4 separate regions of the Mus musculus genome follow, and regions 1, 2 and 3 are each reported to be linked to region 4. Evidence: microRNA targets listed by miRTarBase, many of them from high-throughput screens and not tested one by one. Region 4 holds a microRNA gene; each other region holds the end of a gene's coding sequence.
What was found. Region 4 holds the annotated microRNA mmu-miR-465a-3p (GAUCAGGGCCUUUCUAAGUAGA, at 2,399-2,420, shown strand). A microRNA usually pairs through its seed, bases 2 to 8, with sites in the 3' UTR of a target mRNA and lowers its output. Matches are read on the target gene's strand: a 7mer-m8 pairs with bases 2 to 8, a 7mer-A1 pairs with bases 2 to 7 and ends in A, and an 8mer does both.

Region 1: miRTarBase lists Foxk2 as a target of mmu-miR-465a-3p. Seed matches in the 3' UTR shown: 7mer-m8 at 3,469-3,475.
Region 2: miRTarBase lists Foxl2 as a target of mmu-miR-465a-3p. Seed matches in the 3' UTR shown: 7mer-m8 at 2,165-2,171.
Region 3: the mRNA of St6gal1 is a reported target of mmu-miR-465a-3p. Seed matches in the 3' UTR shown: 7mer-m8 at 2,394-2,400.

Annotation. Positions count from the first base shown.
Region 1 is chr11:121,306,523-121,311,843 of GRCm38, reverse strand. It overlaps Foxk2 (forkhead box K2), which reads right to left. Exons shown (of 9, transcript NM_001080932.3): 9 at 1,944-5,076. The coding sequence ends at 4,880. Among named protein-coding and RNA genes, the nearest start is that of Wdr45b, 45 kb to the left of the region's middle.
Region 2 is chr9:98,955,706-98,961,137 of GRCm38, forward strand. Foxl2 (forkhead box L2) reads left to right here. Exons shown (of 1, transcript NM_012020.2): 1 at 1-2,421. The coding sequence ends at 1,083. Among named protein-coding and RNA genes, the nearest start is that of Foxl2, 2.8 kb to the left of the region's middle.
Region 3 is chr16:23,356,586-23,362,017 of GRCm38, reverse strand. It overlaps St6gal1 (beta galactoside alpha 2,6 sialyltransferase 1), which reads right to left. Exons shown (of 8, transcript NM_145933.4): 8 at 1,668-4,389. The coding sequence ends at 4,148. Among named protein-coding and RNA genes, the nearest start is that of Gm30814, 33 kb to the right of the region's middle.
Region 4 is chrX:66,836,051-66,841,482 of GRCm38, reverse strand. It overlaps Mir465 (microRNA 465), which reads left to right and starts at 2,358; the gene lies at 2,358-2,431.

The sequences.
Region 1 (5,321 bases), not on the chromosome of region 4:
CAAGGATGGTTCGAAAGCTGGTTTAATAAGTCCCCTTGGCTCACCACTCTCCTCTCCACCATAGCAGGACCTTTAATTACACTTATGCTTTTGCTTACTTTTGGCCCCTGCATCCTTAATAAGTTAGTAGCTTTTATTAGAGAAAGGATAAATGCAGTACAGGTTATGGTACTAAGGCAACAATATCGGGTCCTTCAGGAGGTTGAAAACTCGCTCTAAGATTAGAGCTATTTCCTAAAAGGAGTGGGGAATGAAGAATAAAAAATTACTGAACTCTTCCTCACCCCAGAGCCCGACCCCTCCCATCTAGAGAGTGTTCCCAGAACACTCCTGAACTCTTCACCCCAGAATACATTCCTGAACTCCTCACCCTAGAGTTCGAACCCTCCCAACTAAAGACTGTTCCAAGAACATTTTTGAGATAAGGGCCTCCTGGAACAACCTCAGAATGAACCGAGTACATTGCCAAATAATAGGACATGACCCCTTAGTTACGTAGAATCCCTTGGCAGAACCCCTTGTCCCTTGGCAGAACCCCTTAGTTATGTAAATTTGTACTTTCCCTACCCCGCTCTCCCCCCTTGAGTTTTCCTATATAAGCCTGTGAAAAATTTGGCTGGTCGTCGATTCTCCTCTACACCACTAGGTGTATGAGTTTCGACCCCAGAGCTCTGGTCTATGTGCTTTCATGCTGTTGCTTTATTAAATCTTGCCTTCAACACTTTGAGTTCGGTCTCAGTGTCTTCTTGGGTCCGCGGCTGTCCCGAGGCTTGAGTGAGGGTCTCCCTTCGGGGGTCTTTCAGAACTAAGCACACCCAGTTACTTATTTTATTTTATTTTTTTTCCCCCCCGAGACAGGGTTTCTCTGTGTAGCCCTGGCTGTCCTGGAACTCACTCTGTAGACCAGGCCTCTGCCTCCCGAGTGCTGTGATTAAAGGCGTGCACCACCACCGCCCAGCTTTATTTTGTTTTTTTATAAAAGCTACTTCCATCTTTCTCCTTTAGCAGGGAACCAAGGGACATTTGTGTCCCTGAAGCTCGTTTCCATTTCTAAAGGCTCTATCCACTGAATAGTTCATGTCTAAGGTCTGTAACTTGTTGATGTATTTAAAGAGCATTTGCTCAACTTCAGGAAGCATGCACTGTTTGCTTTTACTTACATCTGGGTCATACTGGAGTTGACAGCTGTCCTCAGGCTGAGCTTCCTGTGGCCATTTGCTCAGTGAGTTTTACCTTAGCTAACACCACTGCTGTGCAGACTGCACATATCTACACCCATGTTTGTGAGTGGAGTTCTCCCAGCTTTTCTGAGCTACTCAGGCCACACCCTGCGTGCATTGCTCAGACAATTCACACTTCCTCCAGGTCAGTTTTGCCATGATGGCTCCAGATCAATGTGGGGCACAGAATTCCAGGGAATTCTAACTCTGTCTCCCCAGCCAGCATTCTCTAAAAAGGATCACATTTTAGCCTCCCTGTACGCTACAAGTGGCTCAACTGGGGTCATAACAGAAAAAGGCAACAGGAAACAATTAGACCCACCAGCCTGCCAGTGTCCCATCCCCTGACCCCCATTTTTTAAAAAAGCAAGTCTCATGTAGCTCAGACTGACTCCATGCCCATAGATTTATTATTTGGTTATGTGGGTGGCCTGGGACAGCAGCTGGAAGATGAGTGTTACCGCCTGGGAACCTCAAAGGGCGAGTGGGGTGGGAGTGGGGGACAATCACAACTTAGAACACTTTATAACTCTAACAACGGAATGTCAGTAAGATGCCACACAGTTGACTGTACAGCCGTAGCATCATGAAGACCCTGTGCCTTCCCTCACCTCTAAGGGAGCCTGTGCTGCCGCCCATCTGTGTTCCTGGTCCAGTCTCCCCAGCACAAGCTAAAAAGTAAGATAGATGTATCTGCTTATCAGAAGACAATGATACTCTGTATTCATTAAAATTAATAAAAATATTTTATTGAATTTCAGGAACTTGGTACTTTTTAAAAATTCCAAATCTTTGCACACAGATCAGCACTCTGCTTCCTCTGAGCTGCAGATGCTTGGCCTTCACGATTGTCACTTCTCTCCTTGTGTCACACAGCATAGAAAACCCAAGTCCTGATGCTCCCCGACCCCTTCTGAACTACTACGGCTACTCTGTGACCAGCTCCCCAGCAGAGGACAAGGAAGTGGGGTGGGGTATTTACGGAGACCAGCTGCTGTCTGTGAACACATTCTACAGTGTGGGAAATAGCTATACAATGTTATGCCACACACATTCTGGAATGCACCGTACCCAGGACACAGGTGAGCTTCCCTTTGTGGTCGGTGTGGTTCAAGCCTACGCTGCTGAAGTTATCTCGTTCCTGAGGGAGCTCAGAAGTTTGGTAAAGGTCAAAGTGAGACTCCATAAGCATTTAGCAGTGGTGCCACAGGCACTGGGGACTGCTGTGAGCTCCTTGTGTCAGGATAGTACGTTCCCACATCAGACCTCTGCTGAGGGCCAAAGCACGTGAGCCCAGCTCTGGTGTATGGAGGGGCTTCTGGGAACTTAGATGAACATAAAACTAAAGTAGTGCCTTCAACACTGGGAAGAAACCCTGGGTTTAGTACTCAGTTAATAACCTAAGGGTCCAGCTTCTGCCCTCTCCTTGGCAGCGTTACATTCCTATGGACCAAAGCAGCAGCAAGGCCGATACAGCAGCAAGGAGAAAAGATGGGTGTGTGCCTATTGGCACACTTCACTCACGCGAGACTGAGAAGGTGGCCTTAAAGAAAAAAAAAAAATCCTCCTTCCATCTTTAAATGTTTTCTATGATCCCCAAAAGAAACTCCTACAGACCCATAAGGTCTGTTTGGGGCTCAGAGGTAACGAGTTTGCAGATCTCACTCATAGGGAACAAGTCCTGGGCAAGCATGCTATACACACACATCTCCAGATACACAGTATGTCCAGTTGGTGGTACCTGAGCCCACCCTTGACTAGGGCAGCGGCCTGCCAGTGTACCACGTTAACTGAGGCCCATAGTCTGGATGCACATGCTGGGCACAATATAACCCAAATTAAAGTACTCTGCAAACTGCAAACCTTTACGAGACAGACATTCCGAGGTTACCTGCAGAAACGATGGAGGAGGCAGACTGCGGTGGGCACACACATGTTCTCACTCGCATCATGTCTCACCTTTATTGTTTAAGTGGCTGAGTTATATAAATCCAGCTTGGGTGCAGTAACTCCATGTCAACACGCATCATCTGCAGTAACATTGTGACAGCTCCATACTGTGGGTGAAGCAATACTTAGAACAGACTTATCATATTTGGTCTTTATGTAAATAATGTTTTAAATTGCCTAAATATACCATTCTGAGCCATTTCATTCTACCAGGAAAATACAGGGTTTCCCCCCCTCTCTTAAAAAAAATTAAATACCAAAATAACTACATTTAAATAAATAACGTTATGATGATGACATCAGGGAAAAAAAAACCTCACAATGAGGCTAACGCCCTCTGCCTGTTGCTCAGCTCAGTCCAGAATGCTCTGGAAAGGTGAGCGGTGATCCTGAGTGTGGGCTGGGCTGCTGGCCTCCCCACTTCTCCTCACCCTTCCCTCTTAGTTTACTTGCTATGTGACATAAGTCAGGATTAGTGTGGGACGTCATTCTGAAAATCCAGAGAAACCTCTTGAGAATCATAAAATGGCCTGAATGCTTGATACTTGGCTGCAGGGTCTTACTCCCAAGACCCTCAAGTTAACTGGCAACATCTCTCCACCAGCTCTTGCTGCGAGTGTGCCATACAGATAGCCAGTCAGAGGCCAGAGCTGACCTCTATGATTCCCCAGGTTCTGGGAGAGAGAGATTTATGACCTTGGTCTGAAAAGGCGTGACAGAGGCCTGGATCTGTTTCCCAGGAGGGAGGGATCTGTTGCTTTAAGCATACACAATATTTAGGAGACTTGTTTTACTAGAGTGGGAAATTACGCCAAGGACAAAGTCTACATAAAGAAACAAACAACAAACCCAGCAAGCTAGAGCAGGTACGTGCGTGCAGCCTGACGGCTGGAAGGCTCCCAGGGTCTCTTGTCCCAATGCCCCCTGGCCTCATGGGTCCATGCAGCCTCAGCCCACCCACCCTCTACAATGGCACAAGGTAGGTCAAATTCATCAGGTAACTGCTCTAAACGGAAACGGGCAGGTAGGTGTCCTAAGGGAGAGCCACCCAAACACAGGCAGGACAGACTAGAGCAAACCATCCCACGGGCTAAAATCAAACCACAGAAACAAACAGAATGACGCTCTTTCCCCCAAATGAATCTCAAATTTCCAGAGTAGAAATGGAGTGATATGAAATGTCAAAGACCCCATTATTCAGTAAAGAAAGGACACTGCCAAGTATTCTAATTCCGTATGTGAACAACAAAACACTGTCTTGTCTCTCAGCCACAGCCAGCAGGTCCTATGAGGGCAGCAGATGGCTGTGGCCCTGTCCCCTAAAGGAAAGCCAGCGCGATCCACTTGTAGCAGGTGCTGCGTCCTCCCAGGAGACTCAGTCCTTTGGGACCTGGATTTCTTGCTTGTAGTAAAAGCTGAGCCCACAGACAACGGCCCAGCAAGTGCTCTGTCGGAGACACCACCTCTGGAACCAGGGTTGCTGTTGTGGGTCTGTTCAAGTGTAAGATGTCTTTAAATTAAGGAGTTTTAAGGCCACCTGGGTTCATGTTTTCAGTGCTGAGAGGTGAAGTCCAACCGCAGGGCCCTTTACCCACCGAGGATGCGCTCCCTGCTTCAGTGAGAGAGAGGCAGCGCTCCCTGCTTCAATGAGAGGCAGCATCTCCTTTTGGCACCACAAAGTTGATGTCTGAAGAAAAGGTCTCCCACAGCTAGTTCTGGATTGCCTTTTCTCTCACAGCTGCTGGTGGTGCATCCACACTCAGGGCAATGACAATGCTCTCGCCATCTTCTGCTTTAACTCGCTTGAGCTCTGGCTGCTCTGCCTGGTCACCGTTCTGGCGCTTTGTGGGCAGGGATGCCGATGCTGATGCATGGGTGGCCAACATATGGAGAGGACTTGCTGCTGCTGAAGGACACAGTGAATCAGAACCCCACGCTACTGCATAAACCCCTGACCACAGAGTCCACACTGGCATGCCAAACCCTCTTGAGTCTTACACAAAACCCCAGGGATAGCCCTACATGGCCAAAGCCGCGGCAGGTCAATTCCCATCAGTAAGAAAAACCTCTGTAGCTTCTACAAAAAGCACAAGCTAGCTACTCGAAAGCCCAGAACTGCCACGGCAAGGAGGCTTCTGTTCACCTGGAGGA
Region 2 (5,432 bases), not on the chromosome of region 4:
CTGGCTCCGGAGAGCGGACGCGCAGTCAAAGAGGCCGAGGCGTCGCCGCCGAGTCCCGGCAAGGGAGGCGGGACAACACCGGAGAAACCAGACCCCGCGCAGAAGCCCCCGTACTCGTACGTGGCGCTCATCGCCATGGCGATCCGCGAGAGCGCCGAGAAGAGGCTCACTCTGTCCGGCATCTACCAGTACATCATAGCCAAGTTCCCGTTCTACGAGAAGAACAAGAAGGGCTGGCAGAATAGCATCCGCCACAACCTCAGCCTCAACGAGTGCTTCATCAAGGTGCCGCGCGAGGGCGGCGGCGAGCGCAAGGGCAACTACTGGACGCTCGACCCGGCCTGCGAGGACATGTTCGAGAAGGGCAACTACCGGCGCCGCCGCCGCATGAAGCGGCCCTTCCGGCCGCCGCCCGCTCACTTCCAGCCCGGCAAGGGGCTCTTCGGGAGCGGAGGAGCGGCGGGTGGCTGCGGCGTGCCCGGAGCTGGGGCCGATGGCTATGGCTACCTGGCGCCACCCAAGTACCTGCAATCGGGGTTCCTCAACAACTCCTGGCCCCTGCCGCAGCCTCCCTCGCCCATGCCCTACGCCTCCTGCCAGATGGCGGCGGCTGCGGCGGCCGCTGCTGCAGCCGCTGCAGCCGCCGGCCCGGGCAGCCCCGGTGCAGCCGCGGTGGTCAAGGGGCTGGCGGGCCCCGCCGCCTCCTACGGGCCGTACTCGCGCGTGCAGAGCATGGCGCTGCCTCCGGGCGTCGTGAACTCCTACAACGGCCTGGGGGGCCCTCCTGCCGCACCACCGCCGCCGCCACCGCCGCCGCACCCTCACCCGCACCCTCACGCACATCATCTGCACGCGGCCGCTGCGCCCCCGCCAGCCCCGCCACACCACGGGGCTGCCGCGCCTCCCCCGGGTCAGCTCAGTCCCGCCAGCCCGGCCACCGCCGCGCCCCCGGCACCCGCGCCCACGAGCGCGCCCGGCCTGCAGTTCGCCTGCGCCCGGCAACCCGAGCTCGCCATGATGCATTGCTCATACTGGGACCACGACAGCAAGACGGGCGCGCTGCACTCGCGTCTGGATCTCTGAGTGCCAACGCGCGCGGGAGCGGTCCCCCACCCCTATCCCGGGAGTGGAGGAGCCGAGCTCGGGTCGCAGCCGCAGCAGCCAGCCTGACAGCGCGCACTCCGGGACAGCTTCTGGATGCAGAGCCCTCGAGCGGTCTGCCCTTCCTCGGTCCGCCCCGCTCCTGCGACTCCGCTTTGTCGCCTCCGCTGCTCCTCCGGTGCTCTTCCCCGCCGCGGCCTCTGCTTTCCCGTGCTGCTGGCCGGAGGCCGCCCACTCCGTGCTTTCCGCGGGCCTCCTCTCCTCACCGCAGGGAGTGAGTCCCCGGCCGAGGTGCGGTCGAAGTGTCTGAGACGCAGCTTACCTCTTGGCCCTCTCTTCCAGGTCGGTGGACTCAAGCTCGATTTTATTTTTAATTCCCCACCCCGACTGTCTGCGACTAGAAGCGCTAGGCTGCTGGGGGAAGAGGGACCCACACTACCGGAGAATGGAAAGAACGTGTCTGGTCGCTCTGCGATCCCTCCTGGAACTGATCAGAAGCCGCTTGCAGAGGGGCCCACTGGGCGGGGCGGGGGTTGAGCCCCAGGCTGGAGCAGGGACAGCCTCGTTCCGCGGCCTGCAACCGAGTTCTCATCCCCCGCTCCTTGTGAGGCCGTGGTGCCTCCGCTCCGCAGAGCACCGCATAGGGCACCTCCAGGCCAGGTCTTTATGAAAAAGATTGGTGAGGCTTTTGAAAATATTAAAAAATACTTTTTAAAGAAAAAAAGAAAGAGGGAGAGAATAAAACATTCATGGGGGGGTGGGGAGGAGAAATGTAATGGCCTTGGAGTTTGCTAAAACCAAACAACAAAATCAAAAGTTTTGGTTTTCTTCATCGACCCTGCTGGGAAATTTGTGTAAGAATTCCCGTGGTGACTTCATTAGGCTGTGTTCAGAGGGAGGAGAAAATAACTAGCTAAAATAAGGTTTCCACTACAAATTAGGAATTTCTTTTCTATTTAAAAGTTGAACTCAAAACAAATTTCCCCGGATCTTCCGATTCTGCCCCGGATGCCAGAAGAGATCTCTGCCTGGCTGGTACACACCGCCCAGATGACACTCCTATCCCTGATTTTTGTTTTTCCAATGTCTTGTTTCTTCCACCTTCGGAAGGAGAAATGTGAAACTCGTCATGGCCGGCCCACACGGGCTTGTGGCCCCAGCCGGCTGGCCCGAAATCCCGTGACCTGGTGGTTGAGTAATGTCTTTCGGGGACCAAATTTTCTAGAGGGAACTAGAGCACTTTTGTTGTGTTTGTACGTGTGTGAGGGCGTCCCTTGTCAATTCCCAAATAAATTTTTTTGTTTTTTGTTTTTCTTTTAACACGGACTTGCATTGTTTCTTTTACACCGTAGTTCAGCAGCTAGCTAGCTAAGAGAGCGAGCCTTTCAAGAAAAATTGTGTTCTTTTAAAAAGTGACACAAACAAGAGTTGAGGACAACCCGGGTGGCAGGCGCTTTGGGCTGTCGCTGCTGCTTTGTTTTTCAGGAGATTGTTTGTTTTTCTGTGTCATCGTTTGTCTGTTGCGGCTGTTTCACACCGGCAAAGATACCCGGCCCTCGCTAGAGGCTACTGTAGGCAAGGTTTGTTCTCGTTTTGCGTTCGTGTAAGTTTATATTTTGCCTCTTACATAATTGTACTAGGTGCGTACGCTGTGTTTCCACTGCTATCCTCATACGTCTAAGAATTTTTTTGTCAAAAATATATGTAACATTTTTTAATATAAAATCCAGATTTCAGAAACACCTTGGAAGCTGCAAGCTTTTCTACAGTGTAATCGGTGATTTGTCGTACCGTTGTTTTTAGCAATTGGCATTCATTTATCTTGAAATAAGTGTAGGAAACTTGGTGTTTCAGGTGGGACTTAGTGTACAATATGCTACGGAGGTGGGCTTTTGCTTTCTCTTTACTGAGCTCCATCAAATAACGAATTAAGACCCATGCTCTCAAGAAGATACAAAAGGTGTTTGACCTGGTTGCAGATGAAATCTCTCTGGTTGACTAGAGGTGGCTGGCCTTCAGTTTTCCAATGGGGTGACAGATATTGGATCCGGCAGTGAGTGGCTGAGGGTTCGTGCAACAGGAGTTTAGATCCCATGCATAACCATGAATCTGTCACCTGCCTCTCTCTCTACCTGGATAAGAGACAGGTCCAGAGGAACGAGCTGGGAGAAGCTAAGAGCTTAAGGGTGTGAACCTATGGGTCCTCATTTCAGCTAACCGAAGGTCTAACCTTAGGAATGTCAGGGTGATATCTAGATTATAATGTTGCTGGGATCAAGGGAAGCCTGTTCGGCTCAGAATGCACTCTCCTTCCCCCCCCCCCCCCCCCGCAAAGATCTCAGAAGGAGGCTACAGTGTAGAGGAGGTGCTGTGGATTCCGGAAGGTAGAAACTTCAGCCCACCCACTGGGGGTCGGCTGAAAGGAGAATCTCGGTTGTGGTGGAAAGGGAGAATCCCTCAGGCAAGAAGGTGTTTCTGTAGCCTGGTGTTAAGTCTCAAATGTACGGATCAGATCACTGTAGTCTGTGCCTGGCGTGAGTGTTTCTAGTGTCTGTTATTTAATGGAGACAGGGTATAAGCTGTGTATCTGTCATTCACCTGCAGGGAGGATGGATGACATATATTTAGGATATTGTACTAGCTATATGACTAATATTAGGGGGTGCTTGCCAGAACCCAGTACTTGTTGCATTCATACCTCGTGCTGATCTAAACAGCTGTGCCCTGGGTGTGTGTTTCTGGCTTGCTGAAGGATAACAAAGTATGTGCACCCCTCACTTCATCTGACAGAGGCTCCCTGTTCCGGGGGACTAGCTGTCAGCACCCCCAACAAACTGCTATCCAGAGTAGAAAGCAGGAGGACAGCCTCAGAGGTAGGGCTTTTGGTGGGTAGGTCATGGCCCAGCTCCAGTAAGATGGAGACGCTGAACAAGGCCTGCATTGGAGGATTGCCTCACTGTACCCAAGAACTACCAGCAAGAGGCATCCACAGCTGGGAAGGCTTTGCCAAGTAAGGAAACTTAGATGGAGGGGGCTTTCCCAACTCTACACAGTGGTTGGAGGAGGTAAGAGAAGGGAGCCACTTCCCCACGGATGCCTCCAGAAAGACATCTGTCTCTAATTCCAGCCCTAAGGGGTTCTGCAAAGCGCCAAAATTTGGTCCTTTTCTCTAGTTGGGGACAATAACAGACCTTCCTTGTCTCAAATTTCCTTTCTCTCCTTTCTCCCTCTGCCTTGCACTTTTGAATTTGTTAAAGAATCTGATTCAGATAATTCCCTAAGTGAGAGCAAAACTATCCAAGAGAGTTCCTGGTGCAGAACAACTATGCCTTAGTATACACAGTCTGGCTTGGATACCTAGTAGCCCCTGTGGGGATGCGCATATATGCTTGTAGTGTGTTCTATAAAAGCAACATAAATAGAGTTTGATGCAAATATCCTACCAATTTCTGAAGGATACAGGTAATGAGTTGTGAAGCATGGTACTGAACGGTGTGTGTAGCAGGGGAATAGGTTGTGCACAGACACATCCCTAAATACGGACAGAATGCAACATTTCCTCTATGTTCGAATTCTTATAGTGACCTTTGTATTCCCTAAAAACCTAAAGTAAATGGGTTTGTGGCAGGGAGTCCAATTCTCTAATGGGACTAGAGAAACATTTTACCAATGCAAGAGATACACTGAGGGATTGTATTGAGCCTTGCATTGTCTTTTACAAGCCAAGACTGAAAAGGTAGCCATGTAGAGAGAGCCCCCTGGTGGTAGGTAAAAACTGGGGGCAAATTCGGGCTTCCTGAAGCCAAGTAACCATCTTCTAATGTGCTGGGGGGGGGTGCGGGGGGGTGCGGGGGGGGTGCGAGGGGGTGAAGCTTTGTGAAGGCCTGAAGCTTTCCAACTGCTAAGTCAAATTCTTGCCACCCAGAAAGGGGTCCCAATGCCTGGAAGTGATTTGTTCAAGCTCAAGATTCCCAAAGTGTCCCCACTTTATTTAAATAGTACTTAACTATGTTCTTTTGGCTGTGTCACTATGTCACTGCTGTGTGACAGCCTCTGCTCCTTAGCCAGAACACCTCTCTCTCTCTCTCTCTCTCTCTCTCTCTCTCTCTCTCTCTCTCTCTCTCTCTCTCTCTCTCTCAGATAGGGACCAGGGGCAAAACACTGACAAGTCTACAAACCAAGTAAGGCAGTAAGCCAGCGACTGTGTGCTTTCTGGACAGAGTGAGTTCCAGGCTGTACCAAAGGAGTGCCTGGGACTCAGGAACCAAACTCACACAATTGAGTGGTTGAAGATCTGGCCAATGAAGTTGCCAGCCACAGGTCACCAGCCT
Region 3 (5,432 bases), not on the chromosome of region 4:
AACTGAGACCCCATTTTTCCACCTCCTCATAATTAGCATCTATATCATAAAAACAGAATCCGATTCCAGGATGAGGAACAAAAGAAACCAGTCTCCAGACACAGATGGAGAGACCCACCCACTAGCTCACCAGGCCACTGGAAACTTGGCCAAGTAGAATTATTTTTCTACTTTCTGCTTTCAACACCCATTCCCATGGGATCCAAATAATGCTTCTCTATCATCATGGAGATGCGTTGGTCCAAGGAGCTCACAATGCCAAAGCATTGGATGCAGGGCCAGGGAGACACTTCAATGTTCTCTGGCTAATCAGCAACACTCAGATGAAGATGTCATCAGTAGTGGTGGCCCAGGGTCCTGTCTTCCTGAAGGAGAAGCCCCACAAACCCCAGCATCCAAGACTGTATTCTCCAGGGTCCTAGATGGGTAGTAAGCACCACCCCTGAGCAGCCTGTTGCCCTTTCCCATTCCCTCGCCCAGGAAGCTGCAGCTGGGAGTTTCAAAGGCAGGGGCATGGAGGGAGGAGTTTTAAAGGCAGGGGTGTGGAGGGAGGAGGCATTAGGCTTGATTTCTTAAAGGCTATAATGTGTAAAGTACCTCAAAGTGTGTGGCTTTGACAACAGAGGTGTATTGTCTGAAAATTCTAGAAGCCAGAACTCCCAGATTGAGGTTAGCCTCTCTGAGGACTGTGGGGGAGAATCTATTCTAGGCAGCTTCTCCAGCTTCTGGTGGGTTTTCTGGCAACCTTTGGCATTCCTTGGCTTGTACATCACCGCGACCTCAGCCTTCAACATTACATTGTGTTTTCTCTGTGTGTGCCTGTCTCTAGATTCCTCCTTTTCATGAGGACACTAGTATTCCTGGAGTCGGGCCCACCCTACTGCTGCATGACCTCATCTGAAATAACTAGATCTCTAATAGTCCCATTTTCAAAGAGGTTCCAGAGTCCTGGTGTTAGGAATTCAATATTAAGGATTTGGGGAGACGCCCTTATCTTGAAATCAAGCAGTTCAGGGAAAAAGAAATCCCCCCAAAAAAAATCCTGTTCTTTTTCAGGGTTTGTCTTCAAACATTCTTAGCTATTCCCTAAAATCATTATTGCCCTAAACAATCTAAAGCAGTGGTTCTCAACCTGTGGGTAGAAACCTCTTTGAGGGTCAAATGACCATTTAATAGGGGGGTCATCTAAGACCATCAAAAATATATATTTCCATTACAATTCATAATGGTAGCAAAATTACAGTTATTAAGAAGCAATGAAAATAATTTTAGGGTTGAGGGCCATCATATCATGAACTGTATTAAAGGGCTGTGGCGTAAGGAAGGTTAAGAGCCGCTGATGTAAGGGTCCTGAACTCCAGAGCAAGAGCCTTTTCTTTTATTCTTTACCCTATTCTATTTCTCCTTTCTCCTAAGGTGTGCGATAAATGATAGCTTCGTTACTTGTATCTAGCAAGAGTGAATGGGCAAAAAAAAAATCAATAAGCTGTCAATATCTCTGAGATTCCATCACAGTAAATATATAAACTTTTTCCTGGAGTGTTGAAGAGGGAGATCAATGCCAGAGACTCCTGAAGTACAGGGCACTCGATTTCCAGACGTGTCTCCTTGGGACACATAAGTGGCAATCAGTCATTACCTTTAGAAAAGTATAAAGAGAAGCAGCAGATTTCTGAAAAAGATATTTATTTTAAAATTTGCACATAATCTTTGGATAATTTAGAATTAACAGGTATGTTTTAAAAGTTTCTGACACAAACCCGGAAACCAAGAGCAATGAGAGATTTGATTGGCAGAAGGAATCAAGAGGATCCTGCATTTAGGATGCATAGATGGCTAGTGACGTCAGTGCCCACGTAGAAAGACACTTTCCTATAGCACTCAGTCACAGATTTTAAACTACCTGTCGCAAATACTAAATACCTCATCAGACTAACAGTGACGCCCACATCCACTCCGTAGTCCACTTTACTCAAGTATCCACATTTACAGAGCACAGAGAAAGTCTAACAGACATCAGAATCATATTACACTTATTAATTTACTCCCCCACATTAATAAGAACTAAAAACTAGAATCTACCCAGTGTAGTCTCCATCTCTAATGTACCTCTTGCTGACCTCTTGAAGGAACATCAGCTTCCTGGGCACTCTATCCACAGTCCTGATGCCTTATAATGAGCCAGGAATTCCCTAGACCTAACCCCCACAGCGGCCAAGCAGCCCAATGCTCTGCACACCCTGAGGTGCAGGCAGCAAGACAGGTAGGCTCCTGCACGTTGCAAATGATGCAGATGCCTCACAACAGAAAGGATGCCCTGCTTTTCTCTACTGCCCTCTCCTGCAGCAAGGCCCAGTATGGGTGTGACCCTCCATAAGGAAACAAGGAAAGACATCAGGGTACCTACTTCCTATGCACCGTGGACACAGCCCAGCCACGTGCTTTCCAGTGGTCCTCACACAGCCCAGATATATGTTTTCCTGCGGTCCCCACACAGCCTTGTGAGGTAGGATTGTCACCCCCATTTTACAGATATGGAAACAAAGTGGCACAGTGAGGAAGTGGGGGTCAACCTGGAAAGCCAGGGCTTTTCACTCCGGGCTTTCTATTGCCCGCATAAGGCAAGGGGGTCAGCAGTAAACAAGTTTCTGAGCTCTGAGACTGTGGGTCTGCAGCTCGAAACACCGAAGCCCTGTGAGCACAGCCTTGGGAATCCAGTAGACTGTGTCTCAGTGACCTTGATTCAATAGCATTAATTCTGATCTGTAAGTCACTGAACCACTCCACACCAGGGGCTGAGTGGGCTGCTGTGGTTTCCCACCAGGTAGAGAGGTCTCAGAAAATCCTTGTGAGAGTATGCTTGCCAAACAGGGTGGGTCCTCCCTGCCCAGAGACCAATGCTACTCCCTTGCAGGGGGAGCAGGGCAATCTGTGATCACACACCTCACCCCTTGTGAGAATCAGTTATGATTAAGATTCTAACCTAAGTCCCAGAAACCATATTCCCCATGCCCTGAGAGACCTTTCATGGGGGGCGGGGGGGCCCATAAGGTCAGCGAAAGTTGGGGTAATTGCAAAACAGAAAATGATTAAAAGTAATTTGGGAGGGAAGCCTGCTGTAAGGGAGAGTAATGATAGCAATTAGGAGAAGGTTAGGGAGTAGACAGCTAAAACAATAAAATAAAATAAAAGAGCCCCAGCCTATCTGACTAATCTGCTGTCTCCTGTGGGGCAGCACTTGGTGCCAATGTGGGTAGGGACTTTCTAACAAAAATACCTTGGGTTTCCATGTTCTAACATCAGTGATAAAGGGGAAAGTGAAAACTTCTTCTGAAGAAGACGGTGTGTTTCTCTTCTTCCTCTAAGAGCTTCCCCAGTGCTCTTGCTCAACAAGAACACAGTAGAACTGGCCCCTGCTGGGTGTACAGACAGCACGCTCTCAGAGAGGAGCCCAAATCACTGAGCGCACGGAATGTTTGCATTCTAGCTGCCTGTTGGGTGTCTCTCTCTTTTACTCAACTCTGATCAGGTTGGGGACAGATGGGAGGTTTTGTACCTTCTGTCTCCATGGAGAGTGGGAAGTGAGCTACCCAAGATCCTTTGCAAGATCATAAGCACCCAGGATTAAGGATCAAAAGGGACTACCCTTGGGAACAACTTTACTCTAGAGTAACTGAGTAGGCTTCCCCACCGTGTCCCAATTATTTGCCTCCCCTCCCTGAAGCCACCCTGCATCTGACACAAATCATGATCTGGGAGATGTGAAATCACCACCTAGGGAGAGATTTAAGCCACGGAAGGTGCTCCTTTGTTAGGATGACATCATTCAGTTGGAAAAAACAAAGTCTAGTTTTGGCAACCCTGGTGAGAAATGTGGCTCTTTCCCCTACTCATGTGAAAGGAGAGGAGGATGTTGTCAGGAGAAATGTGTACGGCAAGAATCTGGGCTCCCATACTCTGTGCCTGCAGGGAAGGCTGGGTCTGCCTCCTTGCCATCAGACACTGGAGGCCCCAGAACCCTCGCCAACAAAATTCCCTAGAGTGCAAGAAGCAGGCTGGGCCTGTTGAATAAAAACACTCCTTCAAGCAGTGGTAACCAGGAGAGCAGCCATAAAATGACTTATGGAGAAGGATGAGGATGCCTGGCTCAACAGCGATTGTTCCGGAAGCCAGACAGGGTAGCTTTCCCAAACAAATAAATGTCTTCATCTGTTCCCTCATTGAGATGCTTCACCATATTCTTCTCGAAGAGGAGCGGATGGTAGGCACCCATCGTGCAGGCGCTGTCAAAGAACTTCTGGTGATAGTAGCACACATCTGTCTTGCGCTTGGATGGGAGGAACTCGTAAATATCAACTTGGTCACACAGCGTCATCATAATGATGATACCTAGAGAGGGGAGCAGAGGGGAGGCGTGTGGTTAGGAGGGGACAGGTATGGCAGGGGCAACGCAGACAGCAGCAGGGCCCTGGGGCAACAGGAAGTCTGTTCCTCAGCACACCAACCACTGCTGCTCTAAAAGCTCTAGGAAGAGCCCAGATGCACCTACCCGAACGCTGAAGCAGAGGGTAAAAGGGGCTGACGTACTGCAAGGGCCCCTATGTCTTTTCATCCCTGCCTCTAGCAGAAAACTAAGCTGCTCATTTACTAAGGGAAATTTTACCATGCCAGACCCACAGGATAAGTGAAAGACAGTTAGCCCTCTAGTATGGGAAGTAGACAGATAAACTGCACAGTGGTGAGTCCCTGGAAACATCTCGTTAAAGGTTTGCACTACAGTTGCCCATGGAAGGAGTGTCCATCCCTCTGCAGAGACAGCCTGTCCATTCATGGGAATGCCCCAGTGGTCCATCCCAAGAGAAAGGGAGGGAAGGATGGATGGGCATTAAGATCTGAGGGACAGGGAGAGAGCTTAAGAAGAGAGACTTTGACCAGCATTCAGTACCCTTATCCCCAGTCCACCCCAAATCTGCTTCCCGTTTCCTACATGACCCCATCTAGACAAGCTAGCCCAGCTTCTCTCATGGTTTCAACTAAAGCATCCACAAAGCCAGGAGAGGTATGATAAACTTTTGTCTGTGTCAGGTTCCCAACATGACTCTGCAGAGCAATGTTACCACTTCTATCCATAGTTACCTATGAAACCTTTTTGTTGTTGTTGTTGTTCATTATAATTTCTGGCATTGTGATTTTTAAAGATATTGCATTAAAACATCACTTGACTAGTAAGCTTTAGCATACTCTCTGAATTGTAAGCCTAAGACAAGGGTCTTGCTTATTCCATCCAAGGTCCTATCTCCTCCCTTCCTCCTCTTTGGGTGTGCCTCCCATTACACTATCACTGCATGTCAAGCTCCCCTCTCTTCCATAGAAATCTCTGACCGTCAGCTACCAGGGGCCTTCTCTCTTACAACAGGATGGCAGTCTCCTCA
Region 4 (5,432 bases):
TATCAGGTTTAGGAGTTCTCTGATGGAATTTTTGAAGTCACGTATATATATTTTATCATCTGCAAATAGTGATATTTTCACTTCTTCCTGTGAATGTCATTATATTTGGCACTCACCAGAACTCCTGAAAAATAAATTGGGAATTTGTGTATTATGCTATCCTCAAGACCTGTAGTGGATATTAGAGTTAGCAGAGTCTATGTGCAGTGCTCTGCTTTAGTCAGGCAGCCAACTGAACTAAAGTCATTTCTCTCTCTCTCTCTGTATATAAAGATGCAGGAATTGTCTGTATATTGTTACCATATATAGGTAACATCTGGATAGTGTGGGTAATATATCTAAAACACTTGTGGATATGTTTTTTAATACCAGTCCTGTCCTGCCAAACATTTATTTTATCAGGCACCATTTATAGATTTTTGGTTCTGTTAGGTTTGGTTTTAATACAAAATTTCTTATGGTAGCTCTGGCTGGCCTAGAACTCACTTTGGAGAGACCTAGCTGGTCTCAAATTCACAGAGATCTATCTCCCTCTGTCTCCAGAGTGCTGGGTTTAAATCTGTGTCACCAATGGCCAGTTTATCAGGCACTCTTAAGGTGACTTTCATGGATAATTCTCAACATGGATCTATCAGATTAAAAGTAGATGAAGGTAAAATTGTTTGGCCTATTATATTGTATTATCAATAATTGTAACAAACATGTTGTTCTCTTAGTGCTGACTATTGTGTAGATGAAAAGAATATAATTTGAGAGGATCTTTGGTAAAATATATGGTAAAGGAAAATGAATTTTTTATTTTTGCATGACTTACGATTGAATCAGCTCATGGTAAGAGTATTTTTCTTTATTTCTCATGTTACAAAATCTGGAGAGGATGATAGAAAATGATAATTTAGAAAATTTTCAAGCAGCTACTTATCTGTATTTTAACTAGACTGTGGCCCATCTTTTAAACACCATATGTCCCAAACTTCTTTGTGAACAATTCATATTACCTTTCATAGTTTTTGTGATCTCTGAGTGATAGTGTCAGTACACTTGCAGTTTCCCTTGAATTGGTGTCTCTGGTTAAATATGCACATTTGATGTCTCCAGGATACATTCTTATTTACCATGCCCAATTTTGAAACTCATGAGAATTAAAGAAAATATGATCATGAAGATTATGATCTTGTTACAGGGAAAAAGTGAATGAGAGAGAACTTAAACCATAGATTCAAACCATCATTAAGATTAACATAGACTAGGAAAAAGAAGGAAAGATGTAAGGCAAAGAACACTGTAGTTGACATTTTGAAAACTTTGGCTTGGAAAAGGACTTCTATATTCCACATGAATTGTATTCTATTGAACAATTAATTGTAGGTTATTTATTACTACATTTTAAGATCATCTCTGTGTACAGTAATGCTCAAAAATAAAATGTTTGTGGTGAGAAATGAATGGTAATGGAAGAATAACTACAAGTAACCACTACATGTGTTCTCAAATCTCACAAATGCCTTTCCGAGGACTTATAAATCAGACATCTTCTGAGTTATTACAACAGTATGTTTTTAATATAAAAACAGTATGATATCACAGAAAAAAATTAAATACATGGAAGTATAGCATTTTCACTTTTTGCCATATAATCATTCAAATAAGAAGAATGCAAGTTAAATTTGTTAAGGAATACAAGTGTTTTAGAACATTGGGATGATTACTGTCATTGTCTTTCGAATAAATATCAGGAGGAAGTAGGTATCATTCTTTTTTTCTTTTTTTTTTTCTTCCTAGATATTTTCTTTATTTACATGAGAGATTAATTAGTTACTTGCATTGCATTTGTGCCACTATTTCACCAGTACAGCATGTAGGCAAATCACCATGTAGAGCACATGGTTTGTAGTTGTGTTGATGGTTACATTTATCCTCTGGTATCATTCAGAGTAACTTTCAGTACCATGAATGCTGATTAGTAGAGGTGCTGATTCTACAGGTACCACTCTGACTTCCTTTTTCAGCAGTATCGCCTTACCAGGAGTATTTGCAAATCATAAAAAATTCGCAAAAACCTAAGTTGTTTGCTGGAGGAAACCATTTGGTTAATGATCCAACTAGATATAAACAGTTCATCACTGCATGTTTCACTTGATGGTGAAAGTTGTAATGTGGAGAGCATGGTTTCCCTATTATTTAGTGACTCTGTTTTGATTCCTCATATGTGTATATATATTAAAAGAAACTTCTACAGTAGTAGGATTCTGTATGACCCTTTACTTGGCCATTAATGGCTATGGTTAGAGGTGAGATAAAACTAACAAGACTGTTTATGAATGTGTGAACATCTCCTTAAAGGCTTTGTATGCAGTGCCCTATTTAGAATGGCACTGATGTGATAAAATAAAAAATTGATCAGGGCCTTTCTAAGTAGAGTAAGGCTTACCACCTTCTACGTTTAATGACTTGTAGATGGATATTCAGATTAGCTGTAGGTACATGAAAAGTGCCTTCTGTAATCATAGATGAGCTTGGACATATCCACATTCTTTTTTTCCTTCTATTCATTTATTTATTTATTTATTTATTTATAATTTACTTATTCTTTCCTCGTGTATTATGTCCAGATTCTAGTTTCTTTTTCCCTACACACCTTGTAGCCCCTCCCCTGTATACTTTCCCTGTCCACCATATCTACTTCTGCTTTTCCCTTCAGAATTGATCAGGCCTTCTTATTTGCTGTACAGTAGATAATAGTCATCTAGAAATACATTCATATCCTTTAGGTTTCTTTCTCATTTTTTTCTTTTTTAAATTTTTATTATATATTTTCTTTATTAACATATCAAATGCTATCCCAAAAGTAACCTATATGCTCCCAGCTCCCTGATCCCCTATACACCCACTTCGACTTCATGGCACTGGTGTTCCCCTGTACTGGGGCATATAAAGTTTGCAAGACCTAGAGGTCTCTCTTCCCAATGATGGCCAATTAGGCCATAAGCTGCTGCATATGAGCTCTGGGGATACTGGATAGTTCATATTGTTGTTCCACCTATAGGGTATGGTCCACTATGTTCATAGCCACCTTATTTATAATAGCCAGAAACTGCAAAGAACCCTGATGTTTCTCAACAGATGAATGTATACACAAAATTTGGTACATTTACACAATGGAGTACTACTCAGCTATTAAAAACAATGAAATTATGAAATTCTTGGATGTATGGATGTATCTGGAGGATATTATCTTTAGTGAGGTACACAATCACAAAAGAAGTCATTAAATATGCACTCACTGATAACGGGATATTAGCCCAGAAACATAGATTACCCAATATATAATATGCAAAGACAAGGAAGTCAAGAAAAGAGAAGACCAACAGGTTGATACCTCTTTTAGTTTTCTTATGTAACAAAATACAAGGTTTTAAGATACTACATGATTTCTTGAATTTCACCACTCTCTGTTCTGTTTTTTTTTTATTAGATATTTTCTTTATTTACATTTCAAATGTTTTCCCATTTACCAATATCCCCCCCATCCCATCTAACCTCCCCCTGCTTGTGTGAGGGTGTTACCTCACCCACCCACTTACTCCCAATTTTTCTCCCTGGCATTCCCCTACATTTGGGGCATCAAGCCTTCACAGGACTAAGGGCCTCTTCTCACATTGATTCCCAAAAAGGCTGTCCTCTACTATATATGCTGGTGGAGCCATGGGTCCCTCCATGTGTACTCTTGGAAGGTGGATTAGTCCATAGCATGTAGGGGTTCTGGTTGTTTGATACTGTTGTTCTTCCTATAGGTTGCAAACCCGTTCATCTCCTTCAGTATTTGCTCTAACTCCTCCATTGGGGACCCTGTGAACAGTCCCAAGTCTTTTCTAGGAGTATGACAAAGTCTCTAGGATATGATGGGACATGTTCGGGCAGTACAAAACAGTTAACTAATGTTGATGATGCATAGGTGACTTAGATATTTTCAGGACTTCTTTGTCTGAAATAAATCTCACTCATACAATATTTGTGGTGATATAATTTGGTTTAAACTTCAAACATGTGAGAGATAAACGTTTTTGATAGCAGGATGCATTGTAACTGTCTGGACATCAATGTAACTTAGGGTGTATTCACCATAGAATTGTTTACTGTAAAATGTACAGGTTAGAAAACAAAGGTAAATAATAAAAGCAAATAAGCCATATATACTAAATGTAGTAAAGTTGTCAAAAAAGAAAATAGTAGTCAACATATTGCATTGATACAGAGATGAGTATTCATTTAAAGAAAAAACATGAGTAAATGTACTTTCAGGGAGAATTTTGATGGTGAGAGAATTTCCTGAGTAGAACAGGATGAAAGCTATTTCTTTATGTATGTTATATTATGTTTATTTATGTTATAATTACAGTTGAAAGTATGGGGAAGGGTAAAGATACGTGAAATCAGCACTATATACCAGGCTATAGTCTTGATTTGTTTCAGTCCTATAAACACATGAAGAACAAATCTTTGTGTAAAAACAAGAATCATCATGCCCTGAAATTGTGCTCTGGGTGTAAATGGCAGTATATATGCAGTTACTTTCTTTTACCCAGGAGCATTAGAACACTAATTTTATGTACAATAGGGGGAATAGGTACCAAATTCATTGATGACTATTTCATAATTTAGTGATAAAATGGCTAGGGAATTTGGGAAAAGGCATAAGTTTAAAATAGTATTTTGGTTTTTTTTCTAGGGTTTATGAGTAAAGGTCAGTTAATAAATTCTACACTCTATGGAGTACAGTGATAAAATTACTAAGAGTGATGGATCTAGCTGAGGCAATACCTACTTTAAATTGTCCTGTATTTATTCAAATTCTCTCATTCTCTGCATCCTGCCCAGTTCTGGGTCTGTGTTTTTCCATCCACTGTAAGAGGAAACTTTAATTATGGCTGATCAAAACACTGGTATGCGTATAGGAGAACATCCTTAGGAGTCATTTAATTGTACATTTAGAAGAAAAATAGAACATGCGTTTCTTTCCTAGGCCCATGACTTAGATTCTTGACCCCAGGATATGGGTTCCATCTTGTACAGCAGGCCTTAAACCCATTGAGAGATTAATTAGTTACTTGCATTGCATTTGTGCCACTATTTCACCAGTACAGCATGTAGGCAAATCACCATGTAGAGCACATGGTTTGTAGTTGTGTTGATGGTTACATTTATCCTCTGGTATCATTCAGAGTAACTTTCAGTACCATGAATGCTGATTAGTAGAGGTGCTGATTCTACAGGTACCACTCTGACTTCCTTGTTCAATAATATCACCTTATGAAGAGTTTTTGCAATTTACAAAATATTTACAATAGCCTAAGTTGTTTGCTGGAGGAAACCATTTGGTTAATGATCCAACTAGATATAAACAGTTCATCATTGCATGTTTCACTTGATGG